4 linked regions of the Rattus norvegicus genome follow. The protein of the gene in region 1 interacts with the protein of each later gene in a biochemical or structural test. Links are inferred from orthologs where the notes say so. Each region holds a gene or a part of one and is shown in the gene's direction. Other genes may lie near its edges.

Region 1 (5,382 bases):
GACTTTTCCCACCTCCAGTTTGTTGAGGGGCAGGTAAGATGTCCTTTCTCTCTTTTTTTTTAAAGATATATTTTACTTTAAAAATTATGTGTCTGTGCATGAGTACAGGTGCCTTCAGTGGCTAGAGACTTTGAATCCCCTTGTAGCTGGAGTTATAGGCAGGATGCCTGATAAGGGTGCTGGGAATTGAACTCACATTTTCTGCAAAGAGCAGTACATGTTCTTAACCACTGAATAATAAAGTTTCCATGCCTTTTTTATTTTTTTAACGATCGTGTGCCTCTCTCTACAGGACCTCTGCGGGGACTAACTTAAGTTTTGTCTTTTCTCATTTAGAGGCTTGTGACTGAATGCATTCTCTTTGGTAACTCTCTAGGATGAAATTCTTAAAGCAGCGGTAATGAAATATGGGAAAAACCAGTGGTCTAGGATTGCCTCATTGCTGCATAGGAAATCGGCAAAGCAGTGCAAAGCCAGATGGTATGTATGTACCAGTCAGTCCAGGGGAAAGCAGTGTGATCCGGATCCCCACTGTGATGAGGGAGCTGGCTCTTTGACCCCCTCTATTCCCCTAAAGCATGAACTGTGATATGGAGGGAAGTATGGAAAGAGGGGCCTTTAGATGTACTTACCACTTGCTTCCTGTGTCTTGAGCAAACCATTTTTCCTCCTCTTTACCCTGCCTGTTTTCTCACAACTTAGCACTAATTGATCAGTTGTGAATCCTTGTCCAAGTGAGTTAATGTATTTATTTGAGAGTGCCTTGTGAGACACAATACAAAATCTTAGGTAGCTGGGCCTCAGTTCATTGAATAAGTTGTGGTCTAAAAGTTTATAAATTGGTTATTTTAGGACTTACTTTCCCAAAGAAATAAATGCTAAACAGTGCTTTTTTTTTTTTTTTAAAGGCCAGGTCACAGTGGTTAGCTTCCTTTTAATAGGGCAGCAATATTGCATATTTGCTATACTAAAATGCAACATTCTACTTATGTGTTACCTTGTTAAGTCACAGAGTGGTGGTCATGAGCAGTGTCCTGGACTTGGATGAACCATCTCGGCTGCAGCCCATATGCTATGAGGAGCAGGATTTGGATTGTGTGAAGTGACCCAGATTCTGATGGTGGGAAGGGTCAGATGCAGAGCAGAAGGAAGGGGGCTCTCAGGCTGCAGTAGTTTGATTCACTTTCTCTTAGTGACTGTAAGCCTTAAGCTTCAGCCTAGCTGGAGCACCAGTGGCAGTGAGGACTTAGACATGTGGACAGGTTCTCACCCAGCTAACCACCTCATGGACAAGGCAGACTGAGACGTTAGAAGACGGACAGTGTCTTCTACTTTAAACTTAAAAGTACAGCACATGGAAGCACACAGCTCTGGAACATTAAACAGTGGGTTTAAGTGGACGTTTAGAGAAGTAAGTGAAGATGCTGTGGGACTCAAACATAAGGATGTACAGTGAAATTGTAATATAAATAATACAAGGTGCTATTTTTTCCAGGTACTTTTAGCAGTTCAGAAAATCTAAGAACAAGTGCTGGGTATGGTGATGCACATCTGTAATCCCATCATGGAATGCAGAGGCAGGCAGATGTCTGAATGCTAGGCCAGCCTGGTCTACAGATGGAGTTCTAGGACAGACAATGGTACACAGAGAAACCCTATCTCAAAAAACCAGAAAACCCAAAACAAAACAACACAATTACCACAAAAAACAAACCAAATAGACATAAAACAAAAGACGGTTAAACAAATAAAAATAAGTACTAGTTAAAAAAAAAAGAAGTTCCATGATTGCATCTTGGACTTTAGTTTGTTAGAGTTTTAAGTCTCACTAGTCTTTTTTTTTTTTTTTTTTTAAAGATTTATTCATTTATTATATATGAGTACACTGTAGCTGTTTTCAGATACACCAGAAGAGGGCATCAGATCTCTTTACAGATGGTTGTGAGCCACCATGTGGTTGCTGGGAATTGAACTCAGGACCTCTGGAAGAGTAGTCGGGTGCTCTTAACCACTGAGCCATCTCTCCAGCCCAAGTCTCACTAGTCTCACTAGTCTTATATACTGAACATACATTGTAATGTGAAGAGGGGCAGATGAGTTAGTTCAGCTTCACAGTGAGTTCTCTTGTCAGCATAGTGTTAGTGATTGAAGGATGAGAGCATGTGGTCTTAGAGTCGGTACATGGAGTACTAATGTTTGATATGTTGTCTTTAACAGGTACGAATGGCTGGACCCAAGTATTAAGAAAACTGAATGGTCCAGAGAAGAGGAAGAAAAGCTCTTGCACTTGGCCAAGCTGATGCCAACGCAGTGGAGGACCATTGCTCCAATCATAGGAAGGACAGCAGCCCAGTGCTTGGAGCACTATGAATTCCTCCTGTGAGTGGGCCTCAGAGTGTCCTGAAGGCTGTGTTATGTTAACCTGCTGAACAAGCTTAGAGCATTTCCAGCTTAGTTGTGCCTGTGACTAAAGCCAGAGAAACCAAAGTCACTGAATTCTGTATTCCAGATGTCGAATGGTTGAGCAAAATGATGTTTTCCGCCTCTCCTGTAGAAGGGTAGTTTACAAAATGTGCTAGTCACACTCAGGAAAGTGTGAGTGTGAGTGTGAGTGGGTGCATGAGGCCCCATCACCAACGCAGCGCTGCTGAGAGCTTATTAGGACTTTGTCGTTCTGTTCCAGGAGTGTATTTGTCTGGATGTTCTGTATTTGTGAGGAATGGCTGCTTGTTTCCTCATGAGTGGAAATACTGAAATTAGAGAATTGTAATGTCCCTTTTATTCTCATGAAGCAGTTGTAAAGATGCTGTTTTCCATAACACTCATCTGTTGGTTATTTTGGGAAAGAAAGGAGTGCCAGAGCCAGAACCTTGGTAATTCTCATACTAAATGGGGTGATGCTGTGACTGACTCATCTGGGGTTTGTTTTTTTCCCTCCAAGGGACAAAACTGCCCAAAGGGACAATGAAGAGGAAACAACAGATGACCCCCGAAAACTTAAGCCTGGAGAGATAGATCCAAATCCAGAAACCAAACCAGCCCGGCCTGATCCAATTGACATGGATGAGGGTGAGTGGATGCTGGGAAGAATTTCTGCTCACAACATGTGACTCAGGCCTTCCTCACACTCTTCTTAGTTTCTCCTGAACTCCTGATGTTTAGAATCCCAGTTCTGTCAGTGGTTATTCTAGGTATCTCCCCAAATGTGTCTGGTTTTTTGATGATACCCTTTATTTTCTCTTTCTTCATTTCATTTAATGAATTGATCAGTGTAGTAGTCAGATGTGCCAGAAGTGGGTGATGAGGCTCGCAGGATCCTGTCTCTCGTTCCTTTTCTAGAAGGAGAGACAACAAGCTAGCATATTGGACTTTGCTGTTTTTTTGACTTTAGGGTGATTTACTCTCTAGGAAAGGACTGGTCTTCAAGAGCTATGCTGGAGACTGACAGTGATTCTGTAACACATCGAGTCAAGAGTCCGGGATTGGCCTTTGGGTCCATCTCTGCTATTTACTAGCTGTTTGACCTTAGCTAAGTCATGTAGGCTCTTTGAACTTGAGAATAATACCTCCTTTACCTTTTTTTGGGTACGTGGTAGTTTAAAGATGAAAAGATTTAAAACCTGAATGCAGTGGCTCCCAAGAGTGACGAGTATGTGACTATGAGGCTGTTACATCCTTTCCACTTGGGGAACTTTTAAAGCTGTAGGCACCAGGTCCTCCCCTGAGGAAACTGAGTTGGTAATTCTTACTGAGGGAAGAGAGAGGACTATGATCTGAGTGGAGTCTTAAGTCTTGTCCATCATTATGAGACTGCTTTTGTTGTTTTGTTGGGGAGAGCTGTAGAAAATGTCTTGGAGAAAAAACAATTCTGAGGGGAAAAATGTCTGAAGGTTATCAGTTCCCCATGATTAGTTGCTGCATTATTTCTCTGCTGGTGAAGTGTCATTTTGTTGGTGTTACGGATGCTATTGTAGTAGAGCTTTCTGTGAGCAAATACTTGATCCTTGCTTGATATACTTCATTTTTCTTAGCTCTTAGCATCTCTGAAGTAGACATTCTTATTCTGATTTTAATGGGAAACATTTTCACAGAGGTAAATATGGCACGAGGCCTACATAACGAGCAAGTTAATGATGGGATGATTTGTAACCTTTCTCTGACTTGACAAGTTTTCTGTGCCCTGTACCAGTAGTGAGTATATTTATGCTTTTGTCATTGTAAGCACTGGGATATGCCTGACTGCTGTTGTTGGAGAGGAACTTATTTTTCTTGTCTTTATTTTCGCAGATGAACTTGAGATGCTTTCTGAGGCTCGAGCCCGTTTGGCCAATACTCAAGGAAAGAAGGCTAAGAGGAAAGCAAGAGAAAAGCAGTTGGAAGAAGCAAGGCATGTTTTCTTTTCATTCTATGTACAGTAATTGGTTATGCGTCCTTAGGTTCAGGCAACTGTATGGTTATCTGCTCTAGTTGGTAACTAGTCTGAACTGATCAATTCCCATTTTGCTGTTACTCCTTAGTGCCTTTATTGTTCTGGAACATCTGGAACAAACAAAAACAACTTCTGTATTTTCTCCCTAACCATTTCAGAATAGTTATAGGAAAAATACACTTAAAAAGTTTACAAAGCATGGCAGAAATTACGGGCAAATACTTGACCCAGCATGCTGTGTTTGATCTCTTGTAGCATTGTGGCTTCAGGTGGCTTTCACATGATTGTCAGTTTCCAGCTCCTCATCCTCTTGGTCAGTGTTGGGCAGGACTCCCAGCTGATCCTAGAGGGACTTAAAGTTAATGAGCCTTGAGCCAAAGTCTAGGCTGTCGGAGAAATCGTCACTTAAAAAGCGAGCGAACTGTATTAGGCATTGTTCTTTGCTTAGGCCTTCCCCCACCTTCTCCTTGCTTCCTTTTGGTTGAATTTATATCATTCTGATGCCCAGAAGCTAAGATAAAGTTGGTAAAGATACCATCTGAACTGTGTGGCAGTTGGTGGGATTCAGGTATTGATAAACTCCCTACCCCACAGTCTACCTAGAGCCTTTTTTGGCTCCTGTGCTGTCTAGAACTTGCTTTTTGACCTAGTGGGTAGCTAGCACTGTGTTGGTATTCCCAGTGCTGGATCCTGGGATGGAGGATGCTTTTGGCATAGTAGCTGGCCATTCATTAGTGTAGGAGTAGTCAGAGTGATACACATAGAGAACTATCCTATCTAAGAGAAGGTGCTATGTTTTCTTCATATCCAGCTACTTTTCTGTTCTGTATACTCTTGAGGGTTAAGTAATGTTTTAGGACGTGACTGATACACTAGCATATGCTTTAGTTAGAGTCACTTAGCATGAAGAAGGGAGTGTTCTCTAATGTGTTAGTCTTGGTTCCTCTTATTTT
Region 2 (5,382 bases), on another chromosome or scaffold:
TCTGTCATGTGCCTAGTCATCTGGGTTCAAAAAAGAGATCGACCACTCTATACCGCACTGGCACATAGGATCTGGGCAGTTATTATTTATTGACTTTTATTATCAGCAGACCAGAGATTCTAGGTAAGTAGTTGGCAAGCATTGTGGGACCAAGTACAGGCAGGCTTGCTGTCACAGACCTTGCTTCCTGATAGCTGACTATAAAGGACAGGGTCTTGTTGGGGCTGACACAGTGAAGAGTCTCCTTTTACCCTGTGGCTCACTACCTGTCTTTCTCTATAGTCTCCAACGAAGTGCCAGAGCACCCATGCGTGTCCCCTGTCTCTAATCATGTGTATGAGCGGCGACTCATTGAGAAGTACATTGCAGAGAATGGCACAGATCCTATCAACAACCAGCCTCTCTCAGAGGAGCAGCTCATCGACATCAAAGGTGCCTGCCCAATAGCCTTGGTCCAAGGCCATCTCAGCTCAGCCTTCAAGAGTGGGAGGTGGTGCCAATCTGGTGGAGAAGATGGTGGCTGTGAGTGGGGGAGGGGAAGAGTTCCCGGGTTCTAGTTCTTCATACCTGCTTTGCTGCCTCTCTTGGCAGTTGCTCATCCAATCCGGCCCAAGCCTCCCTCTGCCACCAGCATCCCAGCCATTCTGAAAGCCTTGCAGGATGAGTGGGTGAGTCTGTGAAAAGAATGCACCTCCGGGGGCTGGGGATTTAGCTCAGTGGTAGAGCGCTTACCTAGGAAGCGCAAGGCCCTGGGTTCGGTCCCCAGCTCCGAAAAAAAGAACCAAAAAAAAAAAAAAAGAATGCACCTCCGGGCTAGGACCTGAGGATTGAACAGATGAGGCCTCCCTCCCTCCCTCTTTTAATGTAGTTTTATGTTGTGTATGGCCTTTTGCTTACATGTATGACTGTGTATGACTTACGTGCCTGGTGCTTGGGAGGCAGGAGTTGGTGTGTGATCCCTTGAACTGTAGTTATGAACAGTTGTGAACCACCCTGTGGGGTTTGGGACTTGGACCTGAGTCCTCTGGAAGAACAGCAAGTGCTCTTAATTTCCGGGCTCTCAACTCTCTGCAGGCCCTCTTACTGTCTTGAGATAGGACTTTGCTTTGTTAGACTAGTCTGAAACTTTGATCCTTTTGCCTCAGCCTTCTAGTGCTAGGATTATAAGTGCCAACCACCAGGCCTGACTCTTGGGGGTGATGAACACAGGGTTAATGTAATCCCTGTACCACTGAGCAGCCCCCCTCATTTTGTGCTGGCCTTATTTCATTTGTGAGGAACAGGATAGCAATACAAGAGGAGCCCGGTTGTTGGAACTCTTGCAGACCTAGATTCCAAAGTTTTCTCCACTGTCAGCCTTTGTGACTTAGGACACACTGCTCAGTCTCTAAGACTTGACTTCCTGACTACAGGACACTCATTAGTCTTGTCTATCTGGATTCTGTAAGTAGAATGCAGTTGACATATTTGCCTTGTGACACCAGGGACTCTTTCATTACTGGGCTCTGCATTTGCTGAGGATAGCCAGTAAATAATCACAGCAGTATAATTATTTCCTTTCAGAGAGGTGATGACATTAATGCCTGTGATTTGCTGGTGAATTGCAAAGGTTGGGGTGGGAAGGAGCTAATTCTTACTCTGTGTGTGTCCAGGGTGTGGTATGGGGTAGGAGCCTGAATGTCGTACAGGGCATTCAGGGTCACTCAGATGTTGGCTTGGGTCTCTGAGTAGCTCAGGTTGGTTTCAGTGTAGAATAGGAGGTGGTGTCCTCTTCTCTAGGGTTGGCCGAATTCTCCGGCTCTCCCCCAGTCCTCACAGTGGCCTACCCTCTCCCAGGATGCAGTCATGCTGCACAGCTTCACTCTTCGCCAGCAGCTGCAGACAACCCGCCAGGAACTGTCCCACGCTCTGTACCAGCACGATGCTGCCTGCCGAGTCATTGCCCGGCTCACCAAGGAGGTCACTGCTGCTCGAGAAGGTCTCTGGTGTTCCCTGCTGCTCCCCACCCTCTTCTGGCCCTGCTGCTGGCCCTGCTTTGTTATGTCCCATTTCTAACCTCATCTTTTCTCTCAGCTCTGGCTACTCTGAAACCACAGGCTGGTCTTATTGTACCTCAGGCTGTGCCAAGCTCACAGCCCAGTGTTGTGGTAAGTGTTCCCTTCCAGGCCCCAGTAGCTGTCCCTTACACAGACAGTTTTGGTATTGTGAGCCCCTCCTACTCTCCCTTTCTTTTCTACAGGGTGCAGGAGAGCCCATGGATTTGGGTGAGCTTGTGGGAATGACCCCTGAGATTATCCAGAAGGTAAGTTGTGTGTTCTTCTGATGGGACTGCAGTCTCTCCCTTAGTACTGTAGGCATTGGGGGCCTGTAAGACTCTCACAGTGGGCAATGAGAGGAGCCTGTACTGCCAATCAAGAGCTTTCTGATGACACTTACTTCAGTCTGGCTTCCTTTGTCTCATTTCCCTGGCTTCTGAATAGAATGAGGGGTGTGTGTTTCGTAGGCTTACTGTGGGAAAGATTTAATTACCTATGAGGGAAGTTTTTAGCTCTTGCAGTTTTTGCAGTCCTTGTTGATATTAAGTCATTTCGTTATAGATTTTGATCATTTTGCCTTAGGGCAAGAGTTATCTTTGTATTAAGATGAGGAGTCTGAGGTGGCAAGTCAGACAGCTGTGAAGAGGCAGAGCAGACTTCAGACTACAGCTAGGTTCTGTTGGATGTAGTCTTCATTTGTGGGTCAACGGAGTGAGCGCTCATCTGAGCTCTCATGTTTGTAGCCTAGACCTGCTCCCAGAGCACTACAACCTGGTTCCTGTCCCACCTGCTGTGGCAAGGGAGTTCTTTTGATGTTCAGTTTTCTCAGCTATACCATAAGGTTGTGGATACCTCACCTTATAAGATGGGGGTGGAGGTGTGTCAGCTTTTAGCCCACAGTTTGGCAGATGGCGTGTTTTGGTGATGTATCAGATGTGACTAGCACCCAGTGTGCTTTGTGTCACAAAATTATTTATGTTCTCCACAGCTTCAAGACAAGGCCACTGTACTAACCACGGAGCGTAAGAAGGTGAGTTGTTGCCTGCTGGGAACACCCACCTTCTTGGAGAAAGGGCTCGTTGAAGCCTGCTTTCATTGCTGCTCTTGGGGGCTTTTTGTTTTCTCAGAGAGGAAAAACTGTCCCTGAGGAGCTGGTGAAGCCTGAAGAGCTCAGCAAGTACCGGCAGGTGGCATCCCATGTGGTAAGTGGCTGAAGGTGGCCAGCCTGCGGAGTCATGAGAAATGCTACCTGGGTCCCTGGCAGAGTGTCTCACCTTGGCTGCTCTTCTGTCCTGCCATGCAGTGGGGGGAATTGGTACATCCAGGCAGCCAGCCAAGCTGGGTGGATAAGGAATAGAACTCACTCTTCTTTCCTGACTGGGGAGGAAAATGAGGGGTGTGGGGAAGGGGAGTGGAGGACCTGTATGGCTTGGATTTGGCTGTGACTGGGTTTCATGTGGCTCTGTCTGCAAAGGGGCTACACAGTGCTAGCATTCCTGGGATTCTTGCTCTGGACCTGTGTCCCTCAGACACCAACAAGATTCTTACTGGTGAGTCTAGGTCTGGCCTGACAGCCAAGATGAGGGATGGCAGGACCCAGGGAAGATATAACCCCCCTTGGTCCTTTGCATGGATTTAAGGACAGAAAGACCTTCTGTGGCCCAGGGATACTTTAAGGCCTGCCTCATTTTTGTCTTCTTTGTATCTTCTTCAGGTGGGGCAGATAAAAACGTTGTTGTCTTTGATAAGAGTACTGAGCAAATCCTGGCCACTCTCAAAGGCCATACCAAGAAGGTCACCAGTGTGGTGTTTCATCCTTCTCAGGTAAGACACTCTCGAAGTCACCCTTGTCTTATTTCTAAGTCCAGATCCAGTGGTTTTGAGGCTCAGAACTAATTGCCCAACCTCTAGTGTTTTGGTGAAACAGGCATTGATGTTCCCATGCTGACCCCCAAGACTGTTGAAAGTCGTGTGAGTTCTAATAGATGAGAACCCTTGATTTAGAGGATAAAAGTAGCTTATTAGATGAGATTAATGGTTTCATAGAATACAGTGGCTTTGGTATGCTGCTGCCTCAGGTACTTGAGCAGCCTCCCAGGTAGTCTTTCTCTTCATACGTTAGGAAACTTAGATGTAGGGCTGGAGCGACGGCTCAGCAGTTAAGAGCACTGACTGCTCTTCCAGAGGTCCTGAGTTCAATTCCCAGGAACCATATGGTGGCTCACAACCATCTGTAATGAAATCTGATGCCCTCTTTTTTTTTTTTTTTTTTTTAAAGGATTTATTTATTTATTATATATACATCATACAGCTTTCTGCCTGAATGTATTCCTGCAGGCCAGAAGAGGGCACCAGACCTGATTATAGATGGTTGTGAGCCACCATGTGGTTGCTGGGAATTGAACTCAGGACCTCTGGAAGAGCAGACAGTGCTCTTAACCTCTGAGCCACCTCTCCAGCCCTGATGCCCTCTTCTGGTGTGTCTGAAGACAGCTATAGTGTACTCATATATAATATTTAAAAAAAAGGAAACTGAGAAATAGAGGAATTTATGTTTGTCAGTGTTCTCTTGCTGTAAAGAGGCACCATGATCGTGGCAACTCCTATAAAAGAAAGCATTTAACTGGTGCTTGCTTACAGTTTTAGAGGGTCAGTCCATGATCATGGCAGGGAGCAGGTGGCAAGCATGGTACTGGAGCAGTAGCTGAGAGCTGTATCCTGATCCGAAAGGAGACAGACAGATATGTGTGCAGCATGCATGCAAAGCACTGGGGTTGGTGTGGGCCTTTGACCCCACCACACCCCACACCCCACACCCGTACTTCCTCTGATAGCAGCATCCTTCTAATCCTTTCAAATAGTGCCACTTTGGGGGACTAAGCATGAGCCTATGGGGGCCGTTTTTAATTCAAACCACCACAACTGTGACAAACTGAAAAAATTAGGTATAATTTGCAGCGCTATTTTCTTATTTATTTGATATTAGTGCCACTATTGGCTTTTATGTGTTAATGAAAGAATAGTTGCTTTTATCTTTTAGCTGTTGCTATCCTAACTAGTTGGAATAATTTGTTAAGGAAACTAAATAAGTTCTTTCTGCCCCAAGTCTTTTGGATAATCAACTTGCTCTTGAGGTCTAAGTGGAAGGAACAGGGCCCATGGCTTTCCTTTAGGCTCAGTGCTGCTCCCATCGTCTATTACAGCCATCTTTAGCTGCAGGCAGCACACGACTTCAGTCTCAGTTATACGAGCCATATTTTACCCAGCCTGAAAATGGGCCCCAAGTGCTCTCTGATGCAGTTGCTGCTTGTCCTACTAAGTAGTGAAGCTCTCGCCTGGCCTGGCA
Region 3 (6,023 bases), on another chromosome or scaffold:
CTGTGGTAGGAAGGGCCTGTGGCAGGGATAAAGAGTAGGAGGCCACTATCTCTGCTGACAGCTTCCTCTGTTGTTCCCTCTGTTGATCTTTATGTGTAGCTGATAAGGAAGGAGCCTGGGGAGCAGGGACAAGAGGGCATTCTCTTATTTGACCAGATACAGATCACAGGAGCAAGAGCAAGAACACCACAGAGGTTTAGTGACCATCTTTGGAGTTCAGGAGTGGGGCTATGGTGGTCCTGTCAGTATGATGCACACTTCAGGTGACCAACAGTGGCTATGCTAGCCTTACCCCCACGCTGGCCCTATCAGAGCCTCTTAAGCAAGTTAAAATCTGTAAAGGAATTAAGCAGAGATTCGGGTCCATTGGCTGGATGGCCCATTCACAGCACCCTTGCAGAGAGAAGGCTCAGCTATTGCAGGTCAGTAGCGGTAACAGGTCTCTGCTTAGGCTTTTGACTCTTCAGTTAAATCTGCCAGGCCCTCTGGTTGTCCCAGTCGTGCAGGGCCCCACACTACCTCACCCATCATTGCTCAACAGCCAAGGGTACGACAATTGAAGGAAATTGAACACATTTGCATTGCTGAATGAAAAAGCAGCTTGGTCAATGAAGAAAGGCTTTCCTTAAAATCTGCACGATCATTTTCACACAAACGAATGTAGCATTCATATCTATATCTATCAAAATTTAGTCATGCTTGCTTAAAGAAAAAAAATCCTCTGCGCACAAATGAAGAGCCATAGTGACATCTACTGTCTATATAAGGCGGCTCGCAATGGCGACATCTACAGTCTATATCTTAGCCAGCCAGCACAGGGTTTTATTTTTAAAGATATGTCCATCTTACTCTTTTTGTTTGTTCTTTTGTTTTTTCCTCTGCGTAGTTCTGGTCCCAGCTGTCCTGGAACGCAGAAATCAGACTACCTCTGCCAGTACTGGGATTAAAGGCATGTGCCAACACCTCTGGGCTAGAATTCTTAACCAGCCAAAGATCCTGGATCTCTTCAAAAACAAGGAAATAGGAGGAGGGAGGCCATAGCAAACAAGAAGAACACAGGTTCCTATGTGAACAAGAAATCTGCCTACGATATATGTGATTTATGGATCTCATAACTAGATAATAGGGTCACTTAAGGTCCTTATTAAGCCAAGAAGGTAATTTTCACATGGGTGACATAATTCGAGAGTTATAAGAAAAGCAAAACCTAGTGTGGTTACCTCTAAGATGGCTGTTGTGAGCCTTGTCCATAAGTTGTGTTCAGGATGACTATCTAACAAGTTTAATGAGAGCTGTCTAGTAGTCATATTAACATAGATATGTTAAGGTCTTTCTAACATTTCCTTAGTGTTTTGTGATTTAAAATGTTCTTTTCTAGGTTATTAATATTTTCTTGCAAAGTATACAAACGTTGACCACTTTTACAGAAAATAAGATCCTTTGACTAAACTCACATTTAAATTTAGAAATGCCTACTTGTGGGCTAGCTACAAAGACGGCTCAGGAGTTAAGGCTCAAACTAAAAGGACGGAAATGACTGTTTTCAGGCTAAAAATGCGACCTTCATGTTTTCATGAATTAAAATATTTGAATTTGAGTGAATAATTATGAATTAAAATATTTGAATTTGAATGAGAGCACTGGCTCACATTGCTATACCTGCGCTACATTTTCACCCTTCTCAAAGTATTCGCAGTACTCTCTGAGGACGGGATCATTGAACTTAATCACAGTTCAGGAAGATGCACAATCAGTGAAAATGCCTTATTTAAGATCACAAATAGCAACTACATCAATATAGAAAACACTTGGAAACGATCGAACGTAAGCCACAGATTTTATCTGGGTGAAACACAAAACGTCAACAGTTTAGCATCAGGTCAAATAAAGTAAAAACAACTTAAGTTCCCAATGGTTTCTGAAAAACGGCTTGCTTAGAATCTCTAAGCAGCACTTAGCTTCCGGAAACAAGTACCTCCCCTAAACAGGGCTTTAAGGCCCGCGCTCCCTTCGCTCCGGCTGGAAGCTCCGCCCTCAGCCAGGGGACTCCGCCCAGTTCCGCCGAGACCCGCCCCTCCCCGCCCCAAACCCCGCCCAGTCCCGCCCAGCAGCTGCCTAGATCCTACTCTTCGCCACGAGTCTCCGCGCAACTCCGCCTAGCTTCCGCCCTCCACCGCTAGACTCCACCCCTCGACCCCTGCGCGGCGGGTTGCCAATACGCATGCGCGGTTGGCGTCACGTCCGGCGACAGGCCCCAATCTCCGGAAGGAGCGGCAGAATAGTGGCGGCGATTTCTGCGTCGAGCATTTGGAGTTTCTTCGCTGCTGAACGGGTAGACTAAACGGCGGCGACATGGTGGAGGTAAAGTAACGCTCGGGCACTCGGGAGTCGTTTGTCTTTGGAGCTTTGCCCACGGAAGTAGGATGAAAGTACTGGGAATCTGGGGAAGCGAACTGTAGCCAAAACTGGTGGTCTTGGGCTGTCGGGGTGGGAGGAAGGCCGATGACATCCCGAATCCGAGGTTCAGTCGGCGGGAAGCCTGAAGGAATCTTGCAGTCGGTGTGTTGTTGGCATCTGGCCCTTTCCTGGGAGGCGGGGCTTCTGATGCTCCCACCTTGGCTGGGATGCTAGTCCGTGCTGTCTTGTCAGTTTCACAGTTATTTCATCTCTACCCCATTAAAGCTTGCCGTGCTTGATTTTGTTTGTTCTTGCGTATCCCAAACGTTTCTTATTCCCACCCACTGCGTTCCAGATCCACTGCAGTCCTCCTAATCTAGCCCAACATCTTTTGCCTGGACGAATTCTATAGCTTCCAAGTGCTTACGATTAACGAACACATTGAAGGAATGTAGTTCAGTGCTGCTTTCTGTCCCAGTGTTAAATGTTGGTGATGGCAGAGGCCTAAACCCCACCGACCTTCGGAACCCACACTCCCGCAGCATTCACAACTGCTGCAGTTCTGAATTATATGAACGTCTTCGCAGTGGCATCTCCCAGAGCTTGCACTGTTTGAACCTCTATTCTTTGTAAGGCTGTCTCCCTCTCTGCTTACCTGTCACCAGAGAGAACCTTTCTTGATTATATCTAGCAATTCTTTTTTCCCCTCTGAGTCACCCCATCGAACCCTCCAAAATGTGGAATTATTTTGCTTATTTTTGTGTGTTGTCTCTTGAACTCTGACCAGACAGGAGCTTTCTCATCTTTGTTGTTGGCTGCTGTAGTTTGTCACAGTTACTGAGGAGTGTTAGCCTTTATGTATTTAGCATGTAAAGTGCGTAATGAATCTAATGTTGATTAGAGCGTATGGGTCTCTTCTAGCTAGATGTGTGATCTTGATTGTCTCTTTACAGGAGGTACAGAAGCATTCTGTGCACACACTAGTGTTCAGGTCATTGAAGAGGACCCATGACATGTTTGTGGCTGATAATGGAAAACCTGTGCCTTTGGATGAAGAGAGGTAAGTTCTATTCCTTTTCAGTTGCTAAAGTATTTTATATTGATAGAAGAGCGCAAAGTGACAGAGAGGAGGTGACTTTGAAAGGTCTTAAAAATGCAGACACAGGATACTTGGGCAGTAGCGAGTGTCTTTTCATCATAATACAAATAGCATTAACTCATTTTGCTTATTTTTGTGTGTTGTCTCTTGAGCTCTGGCCAGACAGACAATAACTCTTGTCTATTTTAAAAATCTAATTATAGTTTACAGATACCCAGTGTGATGATTTGAAAGAGAATGGCCTCCATAGTTTCATGTATTTAAATGCTTGGTCTCTGTTGGTGGAACTGTTTTGGAAGGGTTAGAGGAGGTGTGTCATTGGGGATAAGCTGTAAGATTTCAGAAACCTACACCATTCCCAGTTAGCTCCCCTATCTATTGCTCCTTTTCTCCCCCCCTCTTTCCTCCCTTACCTCCCTCCCTCCCCCAACAACCCCCACATCATGCTTGTGAATCAGACGTAAGCGCTCAGCTGCTGCTCCAATACCATGCTTGCCTGTCTGCTCTCATGCTCCCTACTCTGATGGTCAAGGACTCTAGCCTCTTAAACCATGACCCCCAAATTAATACTTTCTTCTCTAAATTACCTCAATTATGGTGTTTGCCACAGCAATAGAAAAGTAGCTAGTACCCAGTAATTAGGGGCATTCCTGTCACGTTATCGTATTTCTAGTGCATCACTTTGTGCATGCTTTTAGCTTCCTGCTCTCAGACTCTCGTTGTGCTGAAATTGTTCTTGGCCAGTATCTCTTCTCCCATCTGTGCTCCTTGGTACAGTGAAGACTTCTAAGTGGCATACTCTTGGTTCTCACCAATCCTAGTCTGGGATTGTGTTGTATGCAGTGCCTTTCTCTGTCCTTTGCTTTTTCTTTATAATCTACTTAATTCCCCTCATTTGCATTTATATTTAATTTTTAAGGTGGATTATCTTTTTAAGTAATATAAGTACATTTATCTTTAAAATGCAGAGCTAATTTAGTGCTTTCATTGGGTCTGACTTTTTAGATTACTAATAAAGGTGTCTATACAAATTTTACTATATTCAGACATTTAAAGGTTTTTTTTAAAAGATATATTAGTTTATGTATGTCTTTAATTTACTTGGACCCTTGAGACCTCATTGAAAAAGGTTTTGTGTTTATTCAGCTGCAAACTATGGTCCTGCTTTGGATTAAATGACTACTGTATGGTAGATTGTGAGGTAAAGTAAATACATATGGTATAGAAATACATTTTGAAATTTCATATTTGTTAAAATACTAGTTAACTTGAAAAACATCCTGGATCTGTGAGTTGGAATACAGTATCTCTTTCTGTACTTGTGTTCTGCTAACTGAATATTTTCATTGGTGATGTGTTTCTAATATTTAAGGATGCATTTCATGTTTATGATTTTTAAATAGTCACAAGCGGAAAATGGCAATCAAGCTTCGTAATGAGTATGGCCCTGTGCTGCATATGCCTACTTCAAAAGAGAATCTTAAGGAGAAGGGACCTCAAAACGCACCAGATTCATATCCTCATAAGCAGTATCCTGCCAATCAAGGTGAAAACCATGAGGTTTACAAGTGGAGTTTTAAAATAGAAAACGTTTCCTTAGTGCCTCACTGTGGGGGGACTGCTTATTTGTTGTTGCTATGGTGGAAGTTTTGATGAACTCATCGGAGTAGTAATTAAGATGCTTAGGTGATGACTTTTACTAGAAAGCAGAATGTATGATTATGGTTCTTAGGAGGTAGACAAGATTACAGTGGAGTCTACAGGGAAAAACTGAAGTTGATTCCTAACCTGTGGGGAGACCATCTGTGAGGTCTTTATTTTGGAAAGATGAAATTATAATGAACAAAGAGAATCTAATATTCCATGTGCAACTATTTACTGTGAAGAAAGCTAGAGTAGGTTGTCAGTTGGGGGGGGGGGGTCCTGTTCCCAGCATGGCTCGGTGGAAGCACATGATCTGCCTGTTAACAGTTTACAGGCAGAACCATCAACTCCCTGCCTTTCTGAGGCTTCTGTAGAGGTGGAACGGAAAACTTGAGTTAATATTTATAATACCTTTTAAAAGGCAGTACGTTAATAAAGGTAAATTCATTGGCAATGATTTTATTTATTTATTTATTTTTAGGACAAGATGTTGAATATTTGGTGACAGGTACACATCCATATCCACCAGGACCTGGTAGGTGACAGTAAGGTTGCACAGATGTGTAGACAGTGTGCCTTAGACAGTTGTGCAGGTACCTAAATGGAAGAGGATGTATGTGTGTGTGCATGTGTGTGTGTGCATGTGTGTGTGCATGCGTAGACAGGTTAGCACGAAGGAAGCAAGTATAATTAGATAGAGGGCAAAAAGCCTTTTATTTGTATAACACACAGGCATTGAGTACTTCTTATAGTAACTTAATTTACTCTTGGAAGTATTCTGTTAATGTTTGAGTGACTACTGTTTGCTATGAACGTACTGTCTGAATCAATAGGAAAATATCTTTATTGTCTTGGGTTGCTTTTGATACAAAGCTATATGTGT
Region 4 (5,382 bases), on another chromosome or scaffold:
CTCACACGTTTTCATATAGCAACTACCAAACCTAGCTCCACAAAGGTATGATGTCATTAGAAGAAAGGGACCTTGAACAGTGTGTGCAGTACTCCACAGCTGTCAGGTGTCACCAACTTTTCCCTGAAAATCTCAGCATAGCCTACGGTGAATTCAATCTGCCAACCCAGCTTCCTCAGTTCAGTTTGGAAACAGCAGGCTTTGTGGCACATAGGTAGCATAGCAAGTTTCACAGTGGTCGACAGGGTTCAGCTTTAATTTACCTCTCTTTGTTGTGTCCTCAATTCTCTATCTTACATGTAGCAGATAGCCAATAATTAGTTCCTGAAAGCAAGAGGAAGAGTCCCTTTTAACTTGAGGCAGAAGTCTATGAAATTCAGTAAAGGACAAGAGGCGTGGAAACCCAGGAGACCATTGTCACAGTAGCCAGTGTCACTGGCCTTCCTTCATTTAAGGGTCTTGTTTCAAAATGTGTGGCTTTTGAAAAGCTGCATGTAGTTTTATGTGGCTAAAATCATTTGAAATCTAATCACAGCACTGGGGGCTGAAGTAACTTGGGTAAGCACTTTAATGGTTTGAAGAAGCCTCCATCCTGACAGATACCCACCGCCTGGCTTTCCACCCCCACGTTTTGAGTTTATAAAACCACCTTTCTTCAGGCAAAATATACCACAGGCTATACTTAGGCTCTGGCCGTTATACAGATTTCTTGAAATAAGGCCTCCAGCTTGTCAGGGAGCGCGCAGTGCAGCCAGGACGTGCACAGTCTTGCACTTACGGATCTTTTAACCTGAGACGGGTCAGATGCGGCCACCCTCCTAAAACCCTGTGAGGTGCACGTTGGCTTGATGAAGAAGACGTGCACAGAAAACTGAACCGGCGCTGGCTGTTGCTTGATTAGACGCTACCGCGCTTCCTCCTTAAGTACAAAATCAATGTCCAAACCGCTCTGTGAATGGCACAGAGTGATGGAGGCGCCAGCTTCCGTGTGAACACTTGCCGGTCCTCTGCAGCTACAGAAATTATTTGTCATTTCGAAACCTAGATACGAAGCAGGAGTCGTGCTGATTAAAGTCATTGTCTGTGTGCCTGTATCTCAAGGAGCTGGCGCTCATAGATAAAAGCATCAGCGAGGTTTGCACGGGTGCCATTCATGGTGCTGTGTTGAAGTCTTGCAGCTGAAGTAACAGGACAGCCATGAAAGATGGCCTCTGCAGTGGACATGTCCCCTCCGAGTCTTCAAGCTGCAGAGCACACAGCAGGGGAAGAATTGTGGGTAGTGATTTAGGTATTAAAATATTAACACATTTTTGCATATTTAATGTGGTTTCCTTTTTAAATAGTAGGCAGATTATGGCTTACAAGCAGATAGGTTTATGGGTTCAAATTAAATTTTAAACATTAAAAAAATTCCAAAAGGAACTACTTCGTTATAAATATTTTTAGCTAATCTGAACAAGAGCTTGCTTTCTTTTCAACTTCTCTGATCATGTATCAGCTAATTTACAGCCTCATTTTCTGGTTGTAACTTGTAAATTGGAGTTTCATATGTTTTAATCTTATAAGCTCAAAACTTTCTCTTACTTGCATGGGAGACATACAGTCTCTAGACTTAAAATATGGGCACAAAATAGGCTCTATGGAGGAGGGTACGTTCACATACTACTCCTTCCCTTTGCCATAGTATGGAGTAGCTGTATCTGGTCCCCCTAACCTGTCTTTCCTTCAGCCTCCTCAGCTCTAGTGGGTGAGCAGTTTGCCCTGGAAAGGGAGCAAGACTCCTTAATGGCCCTCTCATTTCTGTTTCCCACAGGCCAAGATGCCCTTTGATGCCAACAAGCTCTACTGCAGCGAAGTGCTGGCCATCCTCCTCCAGGACAATGATGGTGAGCTCCCTCCTAGAGACAGGCCAGGCTGGCAGCCACACTCACCCTCGGAGCCCATGAACTTGCCTTTGGCATTGCCTGGTTTCTCTGCTTGCTCTCTGTGCAGCTTTTGTACTCTGTCAAGCTGTATTGATTTTGTTAGCTGAGGGATCAGTGGTAGATGGCTGTAAAATCTGACAGTTGGCTTCATTTTTTTTTTCTCCCTTTATTTTCTTCCTTTTAGAAAACAGGGAATTGCTGGGAGAGCTGGATGGAATCGATGTGCTTCTTCAGCAGTTATCCGTGAGTAGTCCTTCTGCTTCCTGTGGGCCATGAAGGTCCATGGCCTGTTTTAAGTGGGAGGTGGAGGTAGAAATACCGGAAGGAGCAGCCACATTGTGACCAAGGCAGGTTGGAGGTCACTCTGGAGAAACAGGGTTTGCCTTCTTTTCTTACTCACTGGCCCTTTCTGAGGAAGTGCCACGGTGGCCTTTCCCAGCTGCTGACCCAAAAGCAGGGTGCCCTCCTCTATGTCCCCCAGCCAAGAAGAGCCAGTTGGGTTCCTTTGCCTTGCCCCCACATGGTTCGGCTCCTTCCCCCTTGGTCCATCCCTAAGAGTCTGTCTGCTCATTTAGGTCCAGGTGAGACCAAGGCGAGCCGTTTCCAGTGCTGAGCACAGTGGGCTTGTGATCATGGGGACAGTAGGGATGGCTGTGGCACTGCAGGCAGGAGTGAGACATTGGAAACTGCCATTTGCTGGATAAAAGAAATGTAAATCCAGTTGAAATGTTATCCTTCTGGCATTCTGGAAATGCAGTCAAGACTTCTAACAAACCTTATCTGTGTTACTCCAAAACAGCACTGAAAACAGATCACTTGGACACAGGCTGACGAGTGTTGAGTGTCTGAGATGGCAGTTTGCATACAGCTTTCCTGCCGTGCCAGCCGCTGAGTGACTTGGCCTCCACCCTAAAAATAGAGCTTTGTGGAGGGAAGCTGTTTGCGGTCCCCATAAGGTGCCGAGCTTTATCCTGTGCAGTCACTGATTGCAGACTGTGTGGGGCTGCCTGCCCAGCTAGCTCAGGCTTTCCCTGCCCGGCTCAGCTCTGACATGCAGAACTGCCCAGATGCATTCCTGGGACTTTGAGCCCCTGCTCCTGAGTGAGGGGATCCAGCAGCTCTCCTGGGAAGAAGCACCTCTTCACACTGAGAGAGGATTGGCTCCTCTGGGTTGTGGGTGCATCAGAAAGGGGGTGGGGTGGGGTTGGACTGAGCAGGAACTTTCTGCCAGGGTTGGGTTGGGAGCTGAGCTGTGGTTTCAGACATGTCCCTCTCAGCTTCACTGTGTATGCCCAGTATGGCCTTTTCTGTTTCTGTCATTTCACCATGGACAAGGGCTGAGCTGTGTGGTTTTGTTTGGCTGACCTGCTGCCTTAAAGCTGTGAGTTGTTCTCAGGTCCAGTGCTTGGCTCAGTGTTCAGTGTTTTTATGTGAACTTGTATATCTTTATTTAGTGCCCACAAGACAGAACTGAGTTGCTCTAAACTGGAAACTGGCGAGAGCTTCATTTGTAAATTTCTGCTTCCTTGGTGGGCTTTGGAAACTGTAGGTAGGGTGTTGGCTGATGGGACAGCATGTTTGATGGCTCCTTTCTACTCTCCTTGGCAGGTATTTAAAAGACACAACCCCAGCACCGCTGAGGAGCAGGAGATGATGGAGAACCTGTTTGACGCCCTCTGTTCCTGCTTGATGCTCAGCTCCAATCGGGAGCGCTTCCTGAAGGGTGAGGGCCTTCAGCTCATGAACCTCATGCTCAGGTGGGTCCCAGTCCTACCCACTGCCTGTCTGCCTGCCCCGCTCTAGCCTGGCTCTAGGCTGCCACTTGAGTTCCCCATTCATCCAGACAGTTCACTTGGGGAAGTGTTCTAGATGTCTCCGAGCTTTTCTGAAGGGTGTGCATTGTTTGTGTGCTGGGTGTCAGCTGGTGATGAGGCCTCTGCCCTGAGGGTCATGTCTTTGTTTCTTTCATTGTGTTGGTTTTGGAGAAAGCTAAGCATTACCTTCTAAACTTAGGTTGGTTCGTCTCTAAATCTGTGTGCTCCATAGACCTCCATGTCTATATTCCTGCTGTTGACAGCAAAATATTCCTATTTTCTCATTCAGTAATGAATTCTGTGTGGAATATGAAAATAGGAAGGATGGGTCTAGGATTTTGGGTTTAATACTTCCTTTAATGTCTCTTTTTTGTTCTGTTCTACTCTAAAGACAATACTGTTCTAGCTTCTCAGTTATTCCAAAGAATCTTAAAGTTGGAAACAAAGTGAAGAAATGGCTTGTTTTGATGTTTTATTGAGGAATGTGGCTGGGAAGGAAAAGAGAGATCCTGAGGAGGTGACCACAGTGCAGTACCCCCAAGGGACAGCATTTGAAATTGAGAGGCTCTGGGTGCTGCTTGCCAATACATTTGGAATTTTCTAATCATTATGGAATTCATGGAGCTGAGCTGGGGTCGGCCAGCGTGAAACCTCTAGTTTGGTGGCAATGACAACTCTGAACAAAGATATGCTTTTGAAAGTGTCTTACAAATTTGACATATATTTATTAAGTGTAATTTAGACTGTAGATGTTCACTCTGTCTTCTATTAGAATGTTTTTAGTTACTGTGTGTGTTACATGTCAGGCTGACAAAGGAGTAACCAAGGCCCGAGTTCTCCCCGAAGCTAAAGTGCTCCAGTCTGTCACCCAAGCCTAGCCTGCCTTTGGGTGGATACTGGCTTCTTGGTTTTACTGCTGTTTATTATTATATTATCATTTATTATTAAATTGGTGGGCATTTTTTTTGTTTGATTGATTTAACATTTAGTCCTGCCACATTCTAACATTTCATGTTGTTTCCTTTTTAGTTTAATGTGGTATTTGTCATTCTGTGACATAAACTTCATGAGGGGGCAGTAACTACTTGAGGGACACAGGAAACGTTGTGGCCATTTCCAGGGTTTCACTATCATGACAAACTCCACAATGAGTTTTGTGTTTTAAATGCCTTGGTGATTATCAATGTGGATAACTCTAAAGTTCCTTTTCTTTAAAAGGTTTGTGGAAAGCTGAAATATGCCTGTCATACAGTGTATCCTAGACCTTGGATTGATCGAAAATCTTCCTTTGAGAAATTGCTTTTAAAAGCAAATTGTTTTTTAAAGTGCTGAGAGAGTTCTGGGAAATTACTCTGAGGCCTTTGCTGTTGAGGCAACTCTGGTTTTCCTTTCTTGAGAGCGTTCGTCTTTCACCCTTCTAATTGCCTGTCCTTTATTGAAATAGCCACTATCTCCCAAGCAGACAGCGTGTAAAGCATTTGGCTTTCTGGGTTTTCTGACCTTAGAGCTCCTCTCTCGAGGGACTTCCCCCAGCTTTGTACAGGCCTGAACTGCCAGTGTCAGTGGATGGCTGAGTGTGGACATGAAGGGATGACTTCCTACAGCATATGGCTCCGTAATGTGTAGCAGTGGGGAGCTGAATA

Evidence for each region.
Region 2: the proteins of Cdc5l (region 1) and Prpf19 form a complex in vitro, tested with the Homo sapiens proteins (2 studies listed by BioGRID, with this or other methods). The link is inferred for Rattus norvegicus from reciprocal best matches to the Homo sapiens genes CDC5L and PRPF19.
Region 3: the proteins of Cdc5l (region 1) and Plrg1 form a complex in vitro, tested with the Homo sapiens proteins (3 studies listed by BioGRID, with this or other methods). The link is inferred for Rattus norvegicus from reciprocal best matches to the Homo sapiens genes CDC5L and PLRG1.
Region 4: the proteins of Cdc5l (region 1) and Ctnnbl1 form a complex in vitro, tested with the Homo sapiens proteins (3 studies listed by BioGRID and IntAct, with this or other methods). The link is inferred for Rattus norvegicus from reciprocal best matches to the Homo sapiens genes CDC5L and CTNNBL1.

What each region holds. Positions count from the first base shown.
Region 1 is NC_086027.1:23,064,536-23,069,917, forward strand, and holds part of Cdc5l (cell division cycle 5-like protein), read left to right. Parts: intron 1-376; coding exon 377-480; intron 481-2,217; coding exon 2,218-2,379; intron 2,380-2,941; coding exon 2,942-3,069; intron 3,070-4,287; coding exon 4,288-4,387; intron 4,388-5,382.
Region 2 is NC_086019.1:216,968,458-216,973,839, forward strand, and holds part of Prpf19 (pre-mRNA-processing factor 19), read left to right. Parts: intron 1-282; coding exon 283-432; intron 433-591; coding exon 592-668; intron 669-1,779; coding exon of another isoform or gene 1,780-1,836; coding exon 1,837-1,978; intron 1,979-2,073; coding exon 2,074-2,147; intron 2,148-2,239; coding exon 2,240-2,302; intron 2,303-3,024; coding exon 3,025-3,066; intron 3,067-3,163; coding exon 3,164-3,238; intron 3,239-3,510; coding exon 3,511-3,586; intron 3,587-3,750; coding exon 3,751-3,860; intron 3,861-5,382. UniProt on the Homo sapiens protein: Ubiquitin-protein ligase which is a core component of several complexes mainly involved pre-mRNA splicing and DNA repair. Required for pre-mRNA splicing as component of the spliceosome.
Region 3 is NC_086020.1:170,703,929-170,709,951, forward strand, and holds the start of Plrg1 (pleiotropic regulator 1), read left to right. Parts: upstream 1-2,259; 5' UTR 2,260-2,352; coding exon 2,353-2,361; intron 2,362-3,350; coding exon 3,351-3,457; intron 3,458-4,899; coding exon 4,900-5,042; intron 5,043-5,621; coding exon 5,622-5,675; intron 5,676-6,023. UniProt on the Homo sapiens protein: Involved in pre-mRNA splicing as component of the spliceosome. Component of the PRP19-CDC5L complex that forms an integral part of the spliceosome and is required for activating pre-mRNA splicing.
Region 4 is NC_086021.1:166,890,172-166,895,553, forward strand, and holds part of Ctnnbl1 (beta-catenin-like protein 1), read left to right. Parts: intron 1-1,813; coding exon 1,814-1,886; intron 1,887-2,109; coding exon 2,110-2,168; intron 2,169-3,150; exon of another isoform or gene 3,151-3,189; coding exon of another isoform or gene 3,190-3,306; intron 3,307-3,533; coding exon 3,534-3,682; intron 3,683-5,382. UniProt on the Homo sapiens protein: Component of the PRP19-CDC5L complex that forms an integral part of the spliceosome and is required for activating pre-mRNA splicing.